Lonchura striata: one gene and its partner. The protein of the gene in region 1 purifies or fractionates together with the protein of each later gene. This does not show direct contact. Links are inferred from orthologs where the notes say so. Each region holds a gene or a part of one and is shown in the gene's direction. Other genes may lie near its edges.

The links. Proteins that work in one complex are often made in the same cells at the same time.
Region 2: the proteins of TXNL1 (region 1) and UBE3A purify together in Homo sapiens (affinity purification with mass spectrometry; 3 studies listed by BioGRID and IntAct, with this or other methods). This does not show direct contact. The link is inferred for Lonchura striata from reciprocal best matches to the Homo sapiens genes TXNL1 and UBE3A.

The regions. Positions count from the first base shown.
Region 1 is NC_134642.1:658,451-662,195, forward strand, and holds the start of TXNL1 (thioredoxin-like protein 1), read left to right. Parts: upstream 1-753; 5' UTR 754-759; coding exon 760-923; intron 924-2,143; coding exon 2,144-2,240; intron 2,241-2,730; coding exon 2,731-2,904; intron 2,905-3,162; coding exon 3,163-3,285; intron 3,286-3,617; coding exon 3,618-3,687; intron 3,688-3,745. UniProt on the Homo sapiens protein: Active thioredoxin with a redox potential of about -250 mV.
Region 2 is NC_134604.1:85,913,058-85,916,802, forward strand, and holds the start of UBE3A (ubiquitin-protein ligase E3A), read left to right. Parts: upstream 1-1,315; 5' UTR 1,316-1,431; intron 1,432-3,745. UniProt on the Homo sapiens protein: E3 ubiquitin-protein ligase which accepts ubiquitin from an E2 ubiquitin-conjugating enzyme in the form of a thioester and transfers it to its substrates.

The DNA.
Region 1 (3,745 bases):
GTCCCGGTCTCGGTCCCTTCCCGGCCCTCACGTGTCCCCCCGCCGCGCTCGCTGCGGCAGCGGCCGGGTGCCACCGCGCCCCGCGACACTGGCGCAAAGCTGCGGCCGGCGCGCTTGACGGCAGGCGCCGCCGCCGTGGAAACTGCTGGGGTCGCTGAGGGCGCGCCAGGAGCGGGTGATTGCGCGGTGACAATTCATAATTAATTACCGATTGCTGCAAGGCTTTTCAATTGCAGCAGGCGGGGGCAGAATGGCGGCGGTATTTCTGGTCTTTGCTGGGAAAAGCGGGAATATTAGACAGCTTGGAGTGACATGATGTTGTGTTATAAAGTACGTTGGGAAATTGTCAGGAATGACGCTGCAAATGGAGTCAGAGAAAGTCCCGGGTTTAATTTTGGTTTTATTTTGTAGTTATTACAAGCACTCATCTTTTATTTCCCCCTTTTGGCGTCACCAAAAAACGAGTTTATGACGAAACCAGTATTAAATTTTTATGTTAAAATCTAAAGGCGCATCTCGCCTCAGAGAATTCCTGCGCTTGCCTGTTCCTAAAATGGCCGCCGGGGGGCGTCGTGCCCTCACGGGTTGCCCGTTCCTAAAATGGCCGCCGGGGGGCGTCGCGCCCTCACGGGCTGCCCATTCCCAAAATGGCCGCCGGGGGGCGTCGCGCCCTCACGGCCTGCCCGTTCCAAAGATGGCGGCGGCGGGCGGGAGCGGAGCGGAGCGGCCGCGCCTGCGCCCGTGCGGCCCCAGCGGTGCATGCCGGGCGGCCTGCCCGCCGTGACGCTGCACATCGCACCCGGCACCGCCACCGGGCCCGCGGCCATGGCGGGCGTCAAGGTGATCGCCAACGACACCGAGTTCCAGCCCGAGCTGAGCGCCGCCGGCTCCCGCCTGGCCGTGGTGAAGTTCACCATGAGGGGGTGAGTGAGGGCGGCGTGCGGCTCAGGCTCCCGGGAAGGGCTCCGCTGTTCCCGTGCTTTTATTGGGGTTCTCCGGCGCGGCTCGCGGCGTGAGGAGCGCTCCGTAACGCGTCAGGGCGGTCTCGGCATCGGCGCCTTTAGAAGTTGTGTGATTTTTAGCACCCCGTTCCCAGCTCCCGGAATAAATTCCCGTTCTTCCCGCCGAGCCCGCCGCCCGCGCCCCGCCAGCCCTCCGGCGCTCTGAGGGAGCAGGGGCTGCGCTGGTTTACAGCCCCTTAAAGGGCACGAAAATGACGGAAGCGAGGCACGGACAGCACTAAAAACACCTTAAAACTTGGAAAAACACCTTTTGCCCCATAAAACTTGGCTGCATCCGTACCCCATTTGCCCACGATAAGTGGATTTTCTCTTTTCCGTCCTCAGCAGGGAGGTGCAGCTGTGGTGAAATCGGGATGAATTTGTCACCAAATGAACCTACATATCTGAATCATTCCCTTTAATCTGTGAAACTGGGGAGAATAGTGATAATCCCGGGGATTTGGGGGTTCATAGGGCACCTCATTATTTTTTTGGCTGCTGCCTCTTAGTTGTGGGGTTTTTTTTGCCAATTTCTATGTCGGGGTTTTTTATTTCACTTTTCTTTTCCCTTTCCCAGTGAGAAACTCCCTTTACAGGAATTGGTGCAGCTGAGCACTTCATACATTTTTGCTGACGCAGAATAAGTAAAAGATACTAATTTTCGTATGAGGCAATGCAAATAAATTAAAAGAAACCAGCTATGTCCTCTCAGAACCAAATAAATATGAGAATAACTGGTTCAGGTGTAAATGAGATTTATTGTGGGAACAATTTTATAATCCATGAAGCTTTGATACATGTTGACCATTAAACATTTAAGTTATGTGTGAATATAATTTTTTTCCAAGGAGGTGGCATGAACTAATGATAGTATTTTTTTGTTAATAGTATTTTTTTTGCTCATTTTGCCCTCCTTTGTCACACTTTGTTGAGCAGGTCTGTGGTAAAAATGTTGCAAATAAAGGCAATAAATTGCAGATTCCCAAATGTCACCTTGCATTGTATCCCCAGCTGGCTGCAGGTAGAGAGGCTGTTTTTACAGCAGGGTATCAGGAAGAGAGGAACGTTCTGGTTCCGTTTGGGGCAGGCACTGGAAAAGGAACCAAAAGTGGAATTAAGTGGAAGTGTCACTTTTCCCACAGGTGCGGCCCTTGCCTGCGGATCGCACCCGCCTTCAGCGCTCTGAGTAACAAATACCCTCAGGCAACATTCCTGGAGGTGGACGTGCACCAGTGCCAGGTGTGGGCTCCAGGGCCTCCTGCTGCTGGGGAGCCAGGGAACAGGGAGGGAAAGGCTGCAGTGGTGTCCTGAGCAGGATGGGAGAGGAAAACCAGGGAATGGGGAGCTGGGAAAGGCTCCAGCAGTGTCCATGCCTCTCGCCGTGCCTGCTGCAGCACAGGAGCTGTGACAGTGACTTCTCCCAAACTGGGAAAACAAATCCCTCCTAGGAGGAAATATTCCTGCAGTGCCACTGTGCTGCCCTTCCTTTGAGCAGTGTAAAAGTGCAGTTATTCATTGATTTGTTGGTTCCCAGCCCCTGCTAAAATAATATTTTAGCCATGGAACACAGCACTTGTGGGAGGTAAAGGCAAACATGAGCATGTGCATTTATTGGTGGGTTTAGCTAGTGGGAATTAAAGGCAAACGTGAAGAAGTGGGGCTAGTTGGCTGCCAGTGGTGCAGTGGGACTGACCTAAAGCACTGAATGGAGTCTGGTGTCTGCTCCCAGGGCACGGCTGCCACCAACAACATCTCAGCAACGCCCACCTTCCTGTTCTTCCGGAACAAGGTGCGGATCGACCAGTACCAGGGAGCAGATGCTGTGGGCCTGGAAGACAAAATCAAACAGCACCTGGAGAACGATCCCGGCAACAGCGAAGACACAGACATTCCCAAAGGATACGTGAGTATCTCCCCAGAGCTTTGTTGGAGTGCTCGTGCAGCTCAGGTGTTAAAAAACCCTGGTTTTCAAATGTGCTTGAAGTCAAAGAGTTGGATTTTAGGCAAAGCTGCCCAAGAAAATAATTTGTCTGGGCTTTATTTTCCAGAAAAAATGTAAATATTGACATATACGTGGTTATTAAGGATGAAGAATGTCCCTAGTCATTGAAATGAATTTTGTGCTGTCCCAGCTGTGAGCAGCTGTGCTCTCTGTCCCCAGATGGATCTGCTGCCCTTCATCAACAAGGCTGGCTGCGAGTGCCTCAATGAGAGCGACGAGCATGGCTTCGAGAACTGCCTGCGCAAGGACTCCTCCTACCTGGAGTCCGACTGCGACGAGCAGGTGTGCTGCCACAGCTGCAGGGATTGCTGCATTCCCGGGGTGTTCTCCTGCAGGGCTGTGCTGCCACAGCTCCAGGGATTGCTGTGATCCCGGGATGTGCTCCCACCAGGCTGGCAGCCCGCAGGAGGCCTGGGTACACGGCTGGGGGTGCCCGCGCTTTCCCCACTGAGCGTGGCCTGGCACAGGAGTGTGAGCTGGGGGGAAAGGGCCAGAGTGCGCTCAGGGGCAGTGAGCACAGCATTTGTTGCTGTGTTCCAGGGCTGCCCAGCCCCGTGTGCTGGGTGTGCAACTGTGTGACACCCGTGTGTAACTGTGCTCGCTTCCCCCCACAGCTGCTCATCACTGTAGCTTTTAGCCAGCCTGTCAAGCTGTACTCTATGAAACTTCAGGGGCCAGACAACGGTGAGTGCTGCAGGTGGAGTTACTTCTTACTGACTGATGGGCAAACACTACAGTGTGA
Region 2 (3,745 bases), on another chromosome or scaffold:
CAGAGGGGAGAGCCAGCTGTCAGGCAGGGCTGCACAGGACCGGGGGTGTGTTGCTCACTCTTCAGGCTGCATCCCCGGGCCGGGTCCCTGACCCTTCCAGCCCCACCAGCCAGCCCTGCCCTGTGTGCCCCGCAGGGTGCTAGCTTTGAACACCACCAGGCATTTGATGACCTAAACGTACACCGCGGTGGCTCTCTGCCCAGCGCGGCAGGCGGGGACAGCAAGGCTGCCCCTACGCTTTGCCGCCTATGGGTCACCCCGCTCTCGGTCTCCCCCTCCTTCCTCCCTTGCTGGGAGGGGCCAGACACGGCAGGGCTGGCCAGGCCTGGCACTGCCTGGCCTCTCGTGCTTTGGCTGACTCACGGCTCCAGCACGGGTTCCCCTCCAGAGGTCACCCACCGGCCCTTCCACCGCTCCCCTCCGCCGGCCGGCCACGGCTCCCTGCCCAGATTAAACCCGATAAACCCCGGCCGGGATGCCGTGGGGCCTGCCGGACAGGCGGGACTCCGGTGGAGCTCAGCGGGGACCTGCCGAGGGACTCAAAGCTGGTGGCGGCCACTCTGCCCAGGGCAGCGATGGTCCCTTGCTGTGCCACCAGCCCCTGGTCTGCCCGCCGGCCTCCAGGGCCGTGTGTGCGGCTGGGCACCTGTGTGTGCCTGCGTGCCTGTGTCAGTGCGTGTGCACCCGCGTGTACGTGTTTGCATTTGCAGATGTTTGCGTACACGTATGTGTGTGTGTACGTACATGTGCGCGCACAGCCGCAGCCGACACGCACTCCCCCGTTCCCTCACACCGCCCCACCCGCGCCTCAGCCCCGCGCCCTGCGCACGCGCACCCCCGAGCCCCGCCCCGCGCGCTCGCCTGGCTGCGCCCCCACCCCACGGCTCCGCGTTGCCCACTTCCAACATGGCGGCCCCCGCTTCGCGCACGCGGGCGCGCAGGCGCCGCCGCGAGGGCACACGGCCGGAAGGCGCGGCCCGGCAGCTCTCTATGGTTGCCCGCGGTGGGTAGCGCGCCGCCGCCGCGCCTCGCCCCCGCCCGCGCTGCACGCCGGGACACGGCCGGTCCTCCCTCCTTCTCTCCCTCCCTCCTTCCCGCGCGCCCCCCCGCGCGCCCCGAGCCTGCGCCGCGCCGACATCCGCGCTGTCCCAAGATGGAGGCGCGGGGCTCGCGCTGAGCGCGGCCCGGCCGGCACGGCAGCAGCAGGAACAGCAGGAGCAGCAGGAGCAGCAGCCGCGCCCGCCCGGCCCGGCCCGTCCGCCCGCCTCGCCTTCCCCGCCCCGCCAGGCCGCGGCTCCGGCGGCCCCGGCAGCAGCAGCGGCGGCGCCTCCTTCTCGTCCGCGGCCCGGCCCCGAGTGCGGCGCGGCCCCCGCATGAGCCCGGGCGGCAGCGGCGGCGGGAGCGCCCGGGAGCAGCAGCCGAGGTAGCCAGGTCGGTGTGAGCGCTGCGCAGGGCCGGGAGCGGGAATGGCGCCCGGCGCACGCTGGCCCTGAAGGGGAGGGAGGCGGCCCTGCCAGCTTCCCCGCGCCGGGAGGGGAAGGCGGCAGCCCCGGGGTCCCGTCCTTCCGCGCCGTGACACACACGGGTGCGGGGCCGCCCCGGGAGCTCCGAGCTTCTCCCGCCCCCCCGGGAGACCGGGCTCGCTGGGCGACCTTGGGTGAACCCAGCCTGCCGCTGCCTCAGTTTCCCGGTTCGGTGACTACTCTCTGGGGCAGCTGTGGGCATGGGACTGCTCGGTGCTGTCGGCGCGGCTGGCCGCCGGAATGGCAAGTAGTGCGAGGGTCTCTTAACTAGTGGCCAAGGCCTGCTTGACAAAGTGGGTCTGATCACTTTGCTCGTGTTGCCTTCTGTCCAGTCTGAAGAGTTGGATCTGAACCTGTGAGCAGGCTGCCTTGATGTATGTGATCTGTCGCTCCTGACTGCAGCACTTTCTGGGCTTCAGTTTTTAAGCATATCTACAGTATTTCTGTTAAGGGATGTTACACTTGACTATTGATTTGTAAATCAGATGTCTGAGGTGATGTGTTATGGTCATTCAGAAGTTGCTACTGCTTAAGAAACGAAACATGTATCACAATTCTCCTTTAAGTGACAAGAACCTGTAATTTATACACATGTAGTTATTCCTTTTCTTTTTTTCTCCAGTTAATGAAATATATGTTTATGTTTCCTTCTATGTAATGTGTTGGTCTAATTCTGGGACTAAGCATGTTTCTTACACATCACTTCAGGGATGGGCCCTCTGTCTGTATGAAAAGATACCTGCTTCAGTAAGAGTCTGCAAACTTGAAGCCCTGTGAGAATTTTGCTTCTCAGAGTGGTTTTGCCATGCCTCTTGCATGTCTAGCAGAAAGTTTCTCAGTAGAAAATTGTACCCGATTTTAGCTTTGATTTCTTGACAAAGTAAGACCTTTATGATTGTACTGTCAATTTATCTTCTTTCTCTTTTTCTTTTGACTAGCTGACTGGTTTGAAAGGGAGAGGTCTAAAAGATAAGATTAAGTTCCTAATTCATGCAAATAGCATCCAGTTAGAGAGATTACCTGCTAAGGAAGAAGCCACGCTCTGAGTTGTACTGTGTTAGACACTTATGATGGGGGGAGAGGGAAGTGTTGGAGATAGTGAGAGGTGTACCACTTGATAAGAATGAAAACTGTTGGAAATAGACTTGCAGTTCTCACAAACTGCTTGGTTTAGATGTTGGCTCTGAATAGCTGTGCCCTTTCATTGTGGAAACAGTTTAAGGTACTTTTTAGAAATTTGAAAATACAGCAAAACTCAGTTTAACTGAGTGTGTTGAATTGAAAATAGGAAATCTGTATTGCTAAATTGATATGGATGTGAGAGAAAACTATCAGATGTGCTTGTCTTTTAAAACAGATGCAGCTTGTAGTATAGTATCATTCTGTCAACTCAGTACAGAAAAATAGTGAAAGAAAACATAGTCCACTAGTTACATTTACAGAGCTGATACTTTTAATTGAAATTATTTCTGTACAATGTTACAGGTGCTTTATCTCTCTTTTACAAATACCTTCCATTGCACTCTTAAGTGTTTACTATTTAATGTAGCATCTTTTCTGCTGGAATTAAGAAGATCATTTTGTTTATCAGAGGTGTTTGCTATTTCTCCTCATTGGAGTGTCCTGAGAATCTTCCAAGAATATAGTAACAAAAGCACCAAGTTAGATGCCAAAATGAGTGTTTGATTTGTTCAGGTTTATTTCAGGGTATGGTTCTGTGACTTAGCAAAAAAAGTCAGGCTTGAAGAGTTGTGTGTTTTAAAGCCTGAGATTTCTCAGTCCAAGTCCTCTTAAGAACTCTAAAGTTGTGTGGGTTTGATGCTTTTTTTTAAATAACAAACAAGACTTCTGGTCTTTTCCTTTTTTTTTAAATTGCTGCTGCTGTTTAAAAACATGGGAATGGTGGTTCTTTTGTGAATGGGATTGAAAACTGTGTTTTTTGTATTTTTGTTTTGTATTTGTATTTTTTTTTTTTTGTATTTTATTTTGAATACATATAGGGATGTTCTGCTTGTTGGAGTCTATGTTAGAGCACCTGGAAATTTTCCCCAATTGTTTTAATCAATTTGAGAAAATAAGCCTGGTTCTTTTTCATATCATTTAACTTCTCTTTTGAAATTTAAAAGTGTCATGTGTACCACCATGACCCAGCATGCGCAGGATAAAATCATGCTTGTTTCACTATGATTATGTCCTTTGTTGACATATTCTTCGTTAGTTCT